Linked DNA regions of Neurospora crassa OR74A. The main gene of each other region encodes a partner of the protein of the gene in region 2 in a complex. Links are inferred from orthologs where the notes say so. Each region holds a gene or a part of one and is shown on either strand. Other genes may lie near its edges. The genes, in order: NCU00812, NCU00334 and NCU02256.

What was found.
Region 1: the proteins of NCU00334 (region 2) and NCU00812 are in contact, whole or in part, in a crystal structure (PDB 5OKZ), measured with the Saccharomyces cerevisiae proteins. The link is inferred for Neurospora crassa OR74A from reciprocal best matches to the Saccharomyces cerevisiae genes RRP45 and SKI6. Residues at the interface, in NP_010566.1 of Saccharomyces cerevisiae: Thr97, Glu99, Asp100, Val102, Leu103, Ser105, Arg106, Glu109, Lys110, Arg114, Ser115, His191, Thr206, Glu207, Asn209, Ile210, Lys211, Asn215, Glu217, Asp232, Leu239, Arg243, Glu244, Val245, Val246, Gln247, Val248, Ser249, Lys250, Ala251; in NP_011711.3 of Saccharomyces cerevisiae: Arg95, Arg96, Leu98, Glu99, Thr102, Ser103, Val105, Arg106, Met107, Lys110, Phe155, Asp156, Val190, Glu194, Lys195, Leu196, Ser197, Leu198, Leu199, Leu200, Val201, Glu202, Asp203, Lys204, Ile205, Pro206, Leu207, Asp208, Leu210, Glu211.
Region 3: NCU00334 (region 2) and NCU02256 share a complex: the UniProt entries of both Saccharomyces cerevisiae proteins name them as parts of the RNA exosome complex. The link is inferred for Neurospora crassa OR74A from reciprocal best matches to the Saccharomyces cerevisiae genes RRP45 and RRP6.

Annotation. Positions count from the first base shown.
Region 1 is NC_026501.1:7,076,646-7,081,679, reverse strand, and holds NCU00812 (exosome complex exonuclease RRP41), read left to right. Parts: upstream 1-1,756; 5' UTR 1,757-2,363; coding exon 2,364-2,671; intron 2,672-2,780; coding exon 2,781-3,294; 3' UTR 3,295-3,594; downstream 3,595-5,034. Other genes in the region: NCU00813 (disulfide isomerase), read right to left, coding at 3,595-4,959. UniProt on the Saccharomyces cerevisiae protein: Non-catalytic component of the RNA exosome complex which has 3'->5' exoribonuclease activity and participates in a multitude of cellular RNA processing and degradation events.
Region 2 is NC_026503.1:3,486,396-3,490,686, forward strand, and holds NCU00334 (3' exoribonuclease), read right to left. Parts: upstream 2,678-4,291; 5' UTR 2,609-2,677; coding exon 2,442-2,608; intron 2,361-2,441; coding exon 1,634-2,360; 3' UTR 1,151-1,633; downstream 1-1,150. Other genes in the region: NCU00333 (ADP-ribosylation factor family protein), read left to right, coding at 87-135, 240-832; NCU00335 (pre-mRNA-splicing factor cwc15), read left to right, coding at 3,038-3,070, 3,162-3,950. UniProt on the Saccharomyces cerevisiae protein: Non-catalytic component of the RNA exosome complex which has 3'->5' exoribonuclease activity and participates in a multitude of cellular RNA processing and degradation events.
Region 3 is NC_026507.1:3,162,232-3,167,282, reverse strand, and holds NCU02256 (exosome complex exonuclease Rrp6), read left to right. Parts: upstream 1-1,571; 5' UTR 1,572-1,704; coding exon 1,705-2,282; intron 2,283-2,341; coding exon 2,342-2,675; intron 2,676-2,730; coding exon 2,731-4,287; 3' UTR 4,288-4,535; downstream 4,536-5,051. Other genes in the region: NCU17251 (hypothetical protein), read right to left, coding at 535-536, 592-685, 754-830, 892-929, 982-1,022. UniProt on the Saccharomyces cerevisiae protein: Nuclear-specific catalytic component of the RNA exosome complex which has 3'->5' exoribonuclease activity and participates in a multitude of cellular RNA processing and degradation events.

The DNA.
Region 1 (5,034 bases), on a different chromosome or scaffold from region 2:
TCTGCTCAGGTACTTGATGCTTGTGATTGGCTGGCCCCTTTGCTATCCCCCGCCTACATAATTCGCCGGCAGTTCGGTGGAACAATGGAACCCTTCGACGACGCACAAAGGCGTAACGCTGACTTCCAGGTTTGTATTATGCAGCACCTTTGACCCACTGCAAGAATAGGTAGGTCACGTCCAGCTTGCCAAAGTCAAAGAAGCCATTGTTGTTTCGCTGACAATAGACTCGTCATCGTGACCCCATTCGTTGAGTTCCTTTCTCTTCGTTTTCACTCAAAGGGGCCCAAGACAGGACGCACGTGCATTGACTGGTGTTCTGGAGATTAGGTGAGCATGGGGGCGGGAAGGTTCCGTTGCTCTGGCGTCAAGGATAGCAGCGCTAGCCCTGTTTCTCGAAGCCTGGTCGCGGTCGGGTGGTCTGAAACGAGATGAACGGAAACGGGGGCAATGCCAACCAAAGAGCTTTGATCCCTAACACATGTCCGGATTAAGTGCCGCGAAATGTGTTAGCGAGCCCCCTTGGCTAATTCATGGTTCGTTCATCCACAGTTTGATTAAAAGTGTAATGCGAATTGGCGTTGGCGGGTCGTTCCTTGGTAGACTGGGCAACACAGCACTTCCCCATTGCCCCGTTTCTCCGTTCCATTGGACCCCGTGGGCTGGTCGGGCCACCAGCGCAGTAATTCTTCAATGAGTAAGCGCGCACCTCGAGGTTTTCACAGTGAAACGAGAAACAAACCGCGCCTGATGAAACTGTTTAGTTGACAAAGACATTGTGGTCACTGGATGACGACTTGCTCATGGTGGATCTCTGTTCAGTCATATCGATAGACTAGGCCAATTCGTGCTAGCCTGGGCCGGCTGTCTAGGGCTGCATCATGCGCCGACCGACGGCGCCTCCTAGTGTAGAGACTTGATGTTGAACAAGTCTCCCCAAAAACACCAAACGGAATCCTCTTGAACCTTGATCGATTCGCACCCCAGATAGGGAGCTCCAGGAGCATTGGCGAGCGTTCCAGACTTCTAGAACCGGATCACTCTTGGGTCCGAGATGATAGAAGATGACGACGCGCTCAACCGAGGCTTCCAAGAATACAAACCAATTGACATTTCGAACACCCAGCGCATCGCGGTACCCATGAGATGATCTTGGTGGCCGTTGTCCCGTATTCACTTAGCGAAGGGGGGAATGGAGGAATGCCGGTTTCCTCCTTGCTGTTGACAAGGGGTCACTGCCACTGCCACAGTGTGCCCCTGAGTAGAGGTAGCCTACCTACCTCTAGGTAGGCTACCTAGTAGTGATCACTCCTGAGTCCAGACTTCAGGCCCTCTCCTGCTCACAATGCACGATCAAGATCCCATCAACATTGCGCATTCGATTGATATCTTGCCATCAACTCACTGTACCGCTATGAGCTGGAGAGGTCAAATGGGGGCTGTCAAGATCACGTGGAGAGTAGATGGACGGGAACCTTCAATTCCATGTTCCGGGGCCATCACGTCCCGTCCTCTGTCTGCAGCTGCAAACAACTTGCCTACAAGTAGTGTAGAGGTATGCACAGACCACTTGCATGCATTTTCAGCTCCTGATGGAAGCGAAGCAGAACTTAAGCAGAAGCCCTGCGGATGGAACTCCCGTCCTGCCGAGTGAGGTGAGCGGTGGAGCCCGGCACGGCGACCCCGCGAACGTGAGACGCAGCGGATCTTGCCCCGCCCCGCCCAGCTAAACTTTTCCTGTCTTGCCATTGGAAACTTTCGGCCTGGCCCAACCACGTCCGTTTATTCCTAGCAAAAGGCGATTTCAAAGTCAACAACCGTCCACCAGAACCTGCTGTCGATTATTCAGACTGGTCGACCGGAAGCTCCGAATTCCCACTTTGCGCGATAACTTAGTCACTGAAACTGGGGCCCCGACACTTCCGCATTACGCAAGCCTTTCTCTCCTCCGACTCAACGTACCGAGAGCTTGCGCGTCGCTCGCGGCACGATATCGCATCGAATAATCTGTCCCATCGAGCCGAAACTGTACGCACTAACCACGATCTCCCAGATCGAGCTTGGCCGACCCGACTCGAAGAACGACTAGGGTACAACTACAAGCACAACCTGAGCTTGGTGGACACTAAGCAGGGGAAGCAAGAGCAAAAAATCTCGACTCAGGTCCGGCTCCCCAGACAGGCCCTCAGGGCGTTTGTTGTTGTTGATCCTTACTGGATACCGTACCCCAATCTCGACCTTTGGTGTACTCGCTACCTGCCCGGTAGAGAGATTAGCCCGAACCACGATACCCAGAGGAGTAGAGTGAAACGCTAGAACAACAGAACATAGAAAGAAACACCTGTCCACCCAGCTACACCGCTATGCCTCTCGATACTTCAGCATATAGCCTCGCGCTGTTGCGCGTCGACGGCCGCAGGTGGAACGAGCTGCGTCGCATCCATGCCCAGATCCGCACCCAGGCCGCCGCCGATGGCTCCAGTTACCTCGAGATGGGCCACACCAAGGTCATGTGTGTCGTTAACGGACCCAGCGAGCCCGGTCCTCGGAGGGGAGCCACGTCGGGCGGTGGTGGTGGCGGTGGTCAGTCCAAGAACGCCGAGGTTGCTGTAAACATTGTCATTGCCGGGTTTAGCTCGGTTGACCGTAAGCGAAGGGGGAGAGGTGATAAGTAAGTCAAAACACCCAGGGGTTGTTTCCCCCCCAGTGTCAACTACGGCTATTCGTCTGTCACTGTTCGCATAACTAACCCGTCATCCTTCCTTCTTCCATCATCACAGGCACATCCTCGAACTCCAATCGACGATATCTCAAGCCCTCGCTGCCAGCTTACACACCCACCTCTTCCCGCACTCCACCATCAACATCTCCCTGCACGTGCTCTCGCAAGACGGCTCTTTGCTGGCCGCCCTCATCAATGCCGCCACGCTCGCCTGCGTCGACGCCGGCATTCCCATGACAGACTACGTCGCGGCCTGCACGGCCGGCTCGACGTCTACATACGCGGCTAACGACGAGGGCGCCGACCCGCTGCTGGACATGAACCACCAGGAGGAGCAGGAGCTGCCCGGCCTGACGGTGGCCACATTGGGCGACAGCGACCGCGTGGCGGTGCTGGTCTGCGAGAGCAGAGTGCAGGTGAGTCGCCTGGAGGGCATGTTGGCCGTGGGCGTGGACGGGTGTAAGCAGGTGAGGGAGATCTTGGACAGGGTAGTGAGAGAGAAGGGGATAAAGATGATACAGGAGGGCACGGTCGAGAGAGGGGTTGGGTTGAATGACATGGAACTGGATTGAATGGACACTACTGAATCAATGGTTGGGCTCCGGGTCACAGAATCGGATATGGTACGGTAGGTAGCATTACAAAGGCTTGGAGCAAAAAAGAATAGGCAACATGACGAATTTGACGAATTTCACGACTATCAATGTAATCAAAAGTACAGCTCTTGGTCAGGTGAGCAACATGTCGTTTCTGTTAAACGTGCGCCAACTTTTGAAAGCGTTCTCCGAAACTGAAAGGTACCAAAAAACCTTCAACTTTTGACCAGCCATTCACTGACACAAGTCACAGCAAACTACGCTTTCACCAATCTCTCACAGCTCATCGTGACCACTGGCCGTCTTCGACTGGGCCTCAGGCGTCTCCCCCTCCTTTGAAGCAGCCTTCTCAGCCTTACCAGACTCTTTCTTTTCCTTCTTCTTCTCCTCCTCCTCCGTCGAAGAAGCCTCAACAACAATACCCTCCGGCAGCTTTTTCTTGGTGCCCTCGCTCAACCTAATCGCATCAATCCACGCCTCCACCTTGTCATGATCCGAGAAATCATCTCCCTCACCAACAGCGTCGTAGCGTCTCCACCATCCGCGACGGGCGTTGATGACGATGAGTTCAATGTCAGCATCCTCCTTGAGGCCAAGGGATTTGAGAAGGGACGCGCCGGCGGGGTTGGTGTCGAGGGGCACCTCGTAAAAGGGGAAGAGCTTGTGTTGGCCGAGGGCATATTTGAATTTTATTTCGGCGAGGTGGGTGAGGGCCTTTTGGGCTTTTTCGTTGGAAGAGGATACCAGCGCGAGAAGGCAGGTGCTGGATTTGGACGTGAGGCATTCCTTGACGAGCTTTTCGGGGGTGTTGAGGGAGGGGATGGGGAGGGCGGTGTGGATTATTACGGGAATCTCTTGGGTTGGGGCAGGGGTTTCGGAGGACGTTTCAGAGGAGGTTTCGGAGGAGGCGACCTTCTTGGAGTCTTGCTTTCCGTTTTTTTCACCACCGTTGGCCTTGCCGTTGGCCTTACCATTAGCCTTGCCATTAGCCTTGCCATTAGTCTTGCCATTAGTCTTGCCATTAGTCTTGCCGTTGGCCGGTGCTGGGTCCGGATTAGGCTGGGCCGCCTGGGAAAGGAACTCCACCATGGCGGCCTTGTTGATCTCGCCGTCGTACACAATACCAGGGGCATCACCGCCAGGCAACAAGATCAGAGTAGGGAGTTTGTCGACACCGAATGTGGATACCGCCTTGGACTGAGTGTTTCGCACCTGACCGACGGGCATGACACCGAGGAATTCAATGGCGACGCTCTTCAGCAAGGGGGAGGTGGTACCCTTGTCGGTGAAGAGGAGCGCTTTGGCTGTCTCGTTCTTGTCACTCAGGAACTTGTCGAGGTTCTTGTCCTCGACTTTCACGACGTGATTGTTGATGCGCGAGACCACAGCATCGACAATTGCGCTGGCGGTGCGCTGGCCTTGGTAGTCCTCCACTATGGGCTTGCCGTTCTTAGAAGGACGGATGATCTTCAAGGTCGGGAAGCCCTGCACGCCCATGCTGCCGCAAAAGGGCTTGTTGGCGTCCTCATCGCAGTTGACGGCGGCGACCTTGGCCAGGCCTTCGAGGTTCTTGGCAGCCTTTTCGTAGGCGGGCTTGAGGTTTTGGCAGTGGCCGCACCAGGGGGCGTAGAACTCAAGAATCTGCAAGGGAGAGAGGTCAGACACATACATGCATTATTACGATGGCTGATCTAAGATATAGTCGGTCTGGTACTT
Region 2 (4,291 bases):
TCACGAACACCTAGCTCATACAGCTTTGCGATCTGTTATCTTACCTTTTCACACGCCCTTGTCAGCTTCCGGAAACTATTGCCAACATGTATCACCTAGCAAAGGGTCTCTACCGATTAGCGACCAGTAAAGAGGGTTAGCTTCCTCTTCCCATCCCATTTAGCCCCTTTTCCTTTCCATCTCATCCCATAGTTGCAACGACCAACAACACTAACCTCTCCCTTTTTTTTCGCCTGCAGAATACTCCGTCATCCTCCTAGGCCTCGACAACGCCGGAAAGACCACCTTTCACGAACAAGTCAAGGCTCTCTTCCACCCCGACCAGCCCGAGCCCAAGTTGAGAACGGTTCCTACGGTCGGCCAAAATGTCTCCACCATCACCCTTCCCGACATGTACCTGAAGCTCTGGGACGTCGGCGGCCAGCTCTCCCTTCGCGCCCTGTGGCACTCGTACTACTCGTCCTGCCACGCCATCATCTTCATCATCGACAGCACCGACATCGGCGACGGCCAAATCGAGCGCGATCAGAACAACGGGCGGCTGGACGAGTGTCGGGCGGTGTTGGAGGATGTGTTGCAGCACTCGGAGACAGAAGGCGTACCGCTGTTGATATTGGCGAACAAGCAGGACCGGGAAGACTGCGTAGAGGTGGTGCGGATCAAGGAAGGCTTGGTAAAGAAGGTCTTCGAGGGCGAGAAGAGCGCAAGTATCAGAGACTCGAGGGTGTTGCCGGTGTCGGCACTAACGGGGACGGGCGTGAGGGAGGCGGTGGAGTGGGTTAGGTCAAGGGTAAAGTGGAACAAGGAGTCGAGGCCGCCGGTTATGCGGTGAGAAGCGGGAGCGGTTGATGATGAAAGACCAATTCATGACATAACCCACGTTCGCGACCAATATCGACGAACATCGACAGCGCCGGGGCAGAGGATTCTATGTGGGAGCCAAATCCTCCCTTTGGGTTCGGCAGGCAATGCTTGGATCTTGCCTGCCGTCGAGGATCAATATCGCTTCCTGGAAGACTTAAGAACTAGGCCAGGAGCGGTACGTGATCACGCAGGTTTCTTCCAAAAAGACCTACAACACCCTGCCATCACGCGAGATTACCCTGCCATCAGATCAAATCACTTCAGATTCGGGCAAGATTGGATCGTGGGGGGAGTGGCGTAGAAGCAAATTTAGGGCTCAGGCTTGGTCTAAACTAAAGTTTGGAGCTCATTGCGTCCAGAGATAGAGGCTAGGACCCTGTGGTTACCTGGCGCCAATGCTTTCACCTCATTCATCTGGCAGCTTTAGCGGCAGATGAGGACTTGGGGACTGAGCTGATGGCGAGATACACTGTGTAACGTTAGATGGCAATTTCGGTCGCCGCTAACGGGATAACTCCCTTTAGACATGAGGGAGGATACGGCACTCGCGGCGCCCCCCATCATAATAATAGAGCCCATTCCGCGGAGTGACTTGCCTCTTGGACAATTCTTGCCGTTCTCTTTTGACTGAGAAAAGTAAAGAGACCAGCTGTAGAGCTGTCCCATATCCTCGTCAGGTTTCGCCTTCAACCACACAGCCTTGTTGTTCTGCTTGGCTCTATGGCCGTACCTGGGTATCTCACTTCTTCCTCTTACGTCCTCAACCGCTTCACCCAACAATGCGATCATTCTCCGCCCTCAACTCAGCCATAAACCCACCCTTATCCCTCCTCTTTGCGTCCTCCGCCAACTTGTCATCCAAGTAAGTGGAGAACTCCTTCACCTTCGTCAGCGCCACGCTGGTACACTGCAGTAGCGCAACTGCCTCGACCGGTACACCCCCGAGCTTCGCGATCTGGCAGATCTCTCCGTGCCTGTTCAAACTAATCGTGACACTGGCGACCCTGACTTGCTCCTCCATCCAATCCGCATCCAACAACGCTGTCTCACCCTCCTCGCCAAAGAAACTCCACGTCACGCAGAAAGGCGAGTGCAGCCAGCCCAGCGGCACCGGCTCCCGCTCCGCAGGCGTGTACACCGTCAGCACGCCATTCTCCATGCTGGTGTCGGGCTTTCGGAAGTGGCGAAGGGCGGCGACGACGGCGAAGCAGGCCGCATCGGTCAGGTTGCCGTCGTGCGAAAGCACGTGCACGTCGACCCGGACGGACCAGCACTTTTGCCCCGCGACCAGACAGAGCGACTCGGTGTCGAGGGCGCCGGAGCGCCGGACCGTCTTTTCGAGCAGGCGCGAGAGCAGCACTTCGGTTTCGGTGGGCCGGTTCACTTCGAAGTGAGGCGCGGCCATGGGGGAGAGTTCGGTGGCGATGGTGAAGATGCCGTCGAGCGGGCGGTCGGCGAAGGGGACTGTTACTTCGGCGGAGGCTTTGGCAAGAATTCTAAAGATGGGAGTCCCGGTTAGTATCTTGGTGCCTCAGGGGTAGGATATGCGTGGTGGTGGTGAGAGTACACAAACGTACTTTGTCTTGCCAAGCGATACATTGGCGACGCCATATTCGTCTCCAAACGTGAGCTCTAGTGGACGGTATTGGTCGAATTCACGGCCATCGAGGCGAATCTGTTCGTCTTGAAGCGCCTTCAAGAGAAAGGCCTTCTCGTTGGCTGACGGTTCTGCTTCTCTGGGCATGTTGACTGAGGTTTGTTTACTTTTTCCCTTTGAAAATACGTGGTTGCGGATCTAAAGAATCGGGCAACATCACTGGTTAGGTAGGTGCTGCAGTTGCAGTCGCTATGGTCACCGTTTCTGCCACTAAAGTCCGCCAGAATTTGGCGGGTTTTGCCGCTGGCGGTCAAGAAGTGCGCCTGCGAGACTGAACCCCAGGGCGTCATTGGATCCATTTGTACCACTACTGCCAGCCAGTTCCTTCTTCAGACTTCAGAGCCATTGCTTCAAATCAGGAACAACTTTACTTCCCTCTGCAGCAATTTCCACTTCCAACACCCCTCAACAAATCACGGCCCATCTCGCCCTCTATTGCGCGCGCTTCATCTCTCACGCACCGGCATCATCTATCAACTCAAGAAAAGAACTGCGTAACCGAACCAAGCCGCCAGAATGACCACAGCTCACAGACCTACCTTCGACCCGGTACGCATCCCACCACCCTCATCCTTCTCATCCCCAACCAATCCCGCCATCCTCTCGTGCACCCACTAACATCCATTCTTCTCAAAACCAGGCCAAAGGCAAAGAAGCCCTCCGCGGTCCCGCCTACCACCAGCGTCTCCTACCCGCCTACACCCAGCTCAAGTTCCGCAAGCCCGGCCAAGGCGGCGTTGCGGGGGCATCTGAAGAGCGCGACACGCGCGACCTGCGCGCTGAGCTGCTGGCTGCCGAGGAGGCGCACAAGGCCAAGTTGAGGGGCGGACCTGCTCTTACCTCTGGTGATGACGATGTCGATAACGAGAAGGCGGGAACCAAGCGCCCATTGGCTTTGACGGGCGGTGATCACAACAAAGAGGAGGAAGACCAAGAAGCGAAGCGACGAAGGATATTAGAGTTGACGAGGGAGATTGATGCGGATGATTCTTCTGATGATGTTGATGACGACGACGCGGATGCCGATGACGCCGATGCCAAATCACCAAAAGCCCAGAAGAACCAAGATGACGACGACGCCTCTTCAGACTCCTCCGATTCTGATTCCGACTCCGACTCCGACTCAGACGACGAAGAAGCCGAACTCCAGCGGGAACTCGAGCGCGTGCGTCGCGAGCGTCAAGAGAAGCGCGAGCGCGAGGAGCTTGAGCGCCAAAAGGCCGAAGAAGAACAGCGCGAGAAGGACATAGCGCTCGGGAACCCGCTGCTGAACAAGCCGGACTTTACGGTCAAGAGGAGGTGGGACGACGACGTGGTCTTCAAGAACCAGGCGAGGGGTGTGGACGATAGGAATAAGAAGAAGGAGTTTGTCAATGATTTGTTGAGGAGCGACTTCCATAGGCGGTTTATGAGCAAGTACGTTCGTTGAGGGAGGAGAAAGAGGAGTTTGAGGTTGGGGGCTTGTTGCTGCCGTTGCTGCCGCTGGGGAAAGATTGCGCAGTGGCGGAGAGAGGAGAGGAGCGAAGATACCCAGAGCGGAAGGATACAGGGCCAAGAAGGGGAGATATATTCCTCTTTGCGACACATCTTGGTTTGAACAAGTTTCTGCATGCATGCTCAGTGAGCGAGAAATAGACGATTTCACAGGACACGATTCAAGCACAACTAACAACATTTTCAATGATCATTGCATATCTATTCACACCGAACCCAACCATGATTTTTTTATATCTAACGCCAGTTACAAATGCAAATGCTACACATAGTCCC
Region 3 (5,051 bases), on a different chromosome or scaffold from region 2:
TCGTGGTGGACAGACTCGGCTCAGACTCGCGCTGAAGTTTATCGAAGCAGTTTAGGCAGTATTACAGGGAGTGTGGAGCGTTCTAAGTTCTAGCGCCCAGAAGCCAGAGTCCCCGAGCGCAACCCGACCTGGCTGCGACTGCACGGCACTCTGTAATGAACCGATTGGATGTTGGGGAGGATCCACTTCTCAAGGACGGGAAACCTTATTTGGAAGGGGAACATTCAACCGACTTGAAGTCATCCATGGCTTCCGTCCATAACAGAGAGCACTGAAAACAACTCAACAGAAGATATAATCAGAAAGGTACAGTCAAAGACCAGCGGGTGACACTTTTGGTACATGGGCTTTGTTCAAGACATGGAGGGTGTGCATAATGGAAAGTCCTTCCACGAATACCAGGCGATATATGATATATACGGAGAAGAGATAATTGAGCAATGTAAGGAGAATAACTGGATTGTTGCGGCTTTGTTCAAGGAGTTGGTCGACGAGTGGTACAGTAAGGTACTCAGACGTCGTCCAGCTCTGGTATTCTGAGCAAGTCAGTCATCCTTTCAACTTTGGCCATGTTCGTAAGCTCAAACTCACATTTTTTCTTGCCCATGTATGTTGAGTCGCTGTCCTTGAGTTCTTCCCGCGCCTCTTCAAGCAGCTTGTCGATGCCACGCTCTTTCAAAGCAACCTGTAAAATGCCATATGGTAAGCTATCTCGATGCTAGAGTACGGGCGCTGTATGGTTTTGCGTCCTACCTGCAGGCAAGAGCTATACTCCTTGAAGAGAATTGAACATTCGTTATTTTGTTCGGTACCATTGCCCCTAAGGTATTCTGTCCAGTATAAGTATCACACATGTCCACTGAGTTGGGGTGTCTGTTCCTGTAGACTTACTCTCACTGTACCATTTGAGAAAGCAAGTGTCGTAACGTCTACAACTGGTTAAGATGTTGTTTTCTTTCCGTATGAAGGACAAAAACTTACTCCTTGGCCTCGTTGCATTCCTTGGCGAGTGACTGGGACATCTTTAAAGTCCAGAGCTATGTTTTCAACCGTAGGTGTTGCCAACAAAACGATAGGCTTGGTACGGTGTCCGATGACTTATGGGTATCGACGGTATATCTATGTTTTGGGCAAAAGATCGTATAGAAGGGTGTTCGTGAGATACTCCAGGTGAATATTTTTGGTGGAAAAGACGGTTGTACGGAATCTCAAATATCAACGTTCACCGGTGAGTCCGCTTGGAAACCAACAAGTACCAGGTGCTATTCAACAATGGGGTTGCGGACTTCCACTTCGTCACAGGACGGATCTCAAAAGCCTGGACGCCGATGGATGAACGAACGTTGGTGGTCCAGATCAGCACAATCTTGGCTCTTGGCAAGCGCCCCCTTGGCCTTATGTAATCGGCTGCCCAAAGTCTCTCTACTTTAGTGCTTCTACTTCCCAGCATGGGCCATCAGGTACCTCTACCAGCGCAGAGCGGGAACAGCTCACTCGAGGCCCACTTGATGGCATCCATCGGGCAGCTTCCACTTTTCGAGGTCCCGTTCACTTTGGCGCTTTCTCCACAAGCCACATGCTGGGACTGTCCGCAAAAAAAGTTCCCAAAGAGCAGCAGAACGACAAACCATTTTTGGAAAATTGAACCGGGCTTCCACTTCCAGTGACGTCCACACCACAACGACTCCAGAACCACCGGCCAATATGGACGGCTCACTGGACTTCAAGAGCTTGAGGGAATCGCTCCAAGCCGCCCTGGTCGCTACGACCCGAACCGCCAACTCAATCGCCAGCGAGGATCTTCAGTTCCAGCGCACCGTCAACCCGACTGTCGGTGGTCAACTCGACAACAGCTCCGGCCGCCTTCTGTCCCTGGCCAACGGGCTCCTCAAGTCGACCGCGAATCTTACCGGCCAGAAGGTTGGCGCTCTTGAAGATGCCGACGACGTGGACATCCAATGGCGGAACATTGTCGACGTGATCGACTCGTTGCTCGAGAAAGCCGACACCTGCCTCGACGAGTACACCGGATTGATCAAGCGGAAGGATGCGCCTACCCCCGCCGACCAGGGCCGCGCCCAAAAACGCGTCAAGTCGTCTAACGATCGTCTTGACTGGTCCTTGAAGAGAGCCAACATTCTCAAACCACAGAATAACTTCGAGAAGAAGGTCGATAACTTCGCTACCGGTCCTTGGAAGCCTCTGTTGTCGTCCAAGCCTCATGCCAAGGTGTCACTGGAAGACAGCCTGACCACCTTTGTCGATGATGACAACAACACACAGTACGTCTAACCTTTCTTTCCAATATCATAAGAGCATGTCGCTAACATGAATCTCCCAGATACAAACACCCCTACGAAACCGAGATCAAGACGACACCGTACCCTGAGCATGTGTACAAGAAGCGCGAACCCAAGGAGTACCTTCCTATCGATTCGACATCCGCCATCTGGGTTGATACTTATGAGGGCGTCTTGGAGATGTTGGAGGAGCTCAAGCAGGCCAAGGAAATTGCGCTTGATCTGGAGCACCACGATTTTAGGTCTTACACCGGACTGTTGTCTCTCATGCAGATCAGTACCAGAGAGAAGGATTGGGTCATTGATACTCTTCAACCTTGGAGGCACAAGCTTGAGGTTCTGAATGAGGTTTTTGCGAACCCCAACATTGTCAAGGTGAGACACATCCTGGCCTTCTGCTTTCACTGTATTATCGACTAACTTGACCCAGGTTCTTCACGGTGCTTTCATGGATGTCATCTGGCTGCAGAGAGATCTTGGTCTCTACGTTGTAGGTCTCTTCGACACATATCATGCTTGCGCCGTTCTCGGGTACCCTGGAAGGAGCTTGGGTTATTTGCTTAGCAAGTTTGCCGAGTTCGAAGCCGACAAAAAGTATCAGCTTGCGGACTGGCGCATCAGACCTCTCCCCGAGGAGATGTTTTACTATGCGCGGTCGGATACCCACTACCTGCTCTACATCTTCGACATGATCATCAACGAGCTCGTGGAGCGCTCAACACCCGGAAAGCCGAAGCCTGACCTTCTCGAGCAGGTCCTCGAGAGGTCCAAGGATGTCGCCCTGCAACGATACGAGAACCTTAGCTACAACGTCGAAACCGGCCAGGGACCCCGCGGGTGGTATAATGTGCTGTTGAAGTCCCCAACGCTCTACAACGGCGAGCAGTTTGCCGTCTACAAGGCCGTACATCAATGGCGTGACAACTTGGCTCGTCGTGAGGACGAGAGTCCCTTCTTCTTTATGACACAGCAGGTTCTGGCCGACATTGCCCGGATACTCCCGACCGACAAGAAGGCTCTGTGGAGTATTCTGGATAGCAACGCCAAGGGCCTCAAGTCTCATTTGGATGATCTATTCGACGTCATTCAAAAGGCTAGGGAGGAAGGTGTGAACGGTCCCAAGATGATGGATATCTTCAAGAGCGAGTCATCTATCCTCGCCCCCGCCAAGATTGCTGCGGTCATCGCCGACGATAGCGACATTCCGGACGTCAAGGAGCTCAAAGCTGACCGGTCACAATTTTGGGGCGGCGTCACTCTGAGCTCAGTCTGGGACGGCACGGCTGCGAAGACTGCCAAGCTTGACGACGTGTTGGAAATCACCCTTCCGTATCCGGCCGACTTCATGGACGGATCTACGGCTGAGATGGAGGTGGATCAACCAGAAGAGGCGGTGCCAGAGCCCCAGCCGGCGCCGGAAGAGGTGATAGTCAACCAGGAATTCACTCTTAGGAACGGAGGCAAGCGCAAGCGCGAGGAAGAGTCTGAGGAAGAAGAGGAGGCCTCAGATGCCGAAATGGAGGATTCCGCGCCTCAGACCGAAACCGACGTGCAAACCGGTGGTGAAGCCGAAGGTGACGACTCCGACGAGGAAGAAGAGGAGGAGGAGGAAGAGGCAAGCGACAAGTCATCCAAGAAATCCAAAAAGGCAGCCAGGAAAGCGGCCAAGGAGAAGAAGAAGCAGGCCAAGGAAGCTCTCAAGGCCCAGCGAAGGGCAGAGAAGGCCGCCAAGAAGGAAGCAAAGAAGAAGGCGCAGGAAGAAGCTGCTGCTGCCGCTAAGCAGGCGGAGGGCGAGGAGAAGGAAGATCAGCCGTTTGATTACTCTCAGGCTGCGTCGGTGTTGCGTGCTCGCAAGACTCAGGAGGACGTCAAGAAGGCGAATAAGAGGTTTAACCCGTATGAAAACAAGTCTCAGGGAGGACCCAAGGGCGCAAGAGCGCATTACACGGCCAAGGCGGCTGGCAGGACGGCTACCTTTAAGAAGTGAGGAGCCGGCGGATGAGGAAGATGGAGGGCAAATAGGATAGATTATGGAACGATCAGTGCTGTGTTGGCCATTGATGCCACTTATTTTTTTTACTTGGACTATTATTATCGCGGTGCGTTTTAGTATATGCGACAGGAGAAGAGAAAGAGATGGCTTATGGTAGAGACATAGATACCAAGCAATAACTGATGACGGCCAAGAGACGTCGAGTTTTCATCCTGTTCTACAAAACGCTGAGCCACAGAAACCTTGCATCAAATTATACAGAGTCTCGACCGGTGTGAGTATTTATGTCTTTATATATCCTGCATGTTTGACCTCACACAATCAACTTGCACCTACACTACAGTTTGCCCAAGCTGATTACTGGTATTAGACTCAATTTTCATTTTCTATCTGATGGTATCACGAGGTACCACGAGGTGGAGGGGATCCGCGCGGCGGTCATGAGAGCCAGTTGACAGACCAATGTAACCTACCAACACCTTTTTGAGATCTCGTGGCAGGCGTTTCGTTTCATGATCAAGGCGTATATATCTCCATTTTGGCATTTGGCAAGTCATGGAATGATACTGTAGTATTCCGAGAATATACCTACCTATCTACACACATACATGCATACATACATACATACATACATACATACATACCACCACAACTATCTACAGCCTAAGGCGACATCGACACACCAGAAACGATCGAAGCGCCACCAGCGGTAGGTATGTCGTCCTGCTTTTCTCGTCTAGGATCTTATGCTGCCCAAG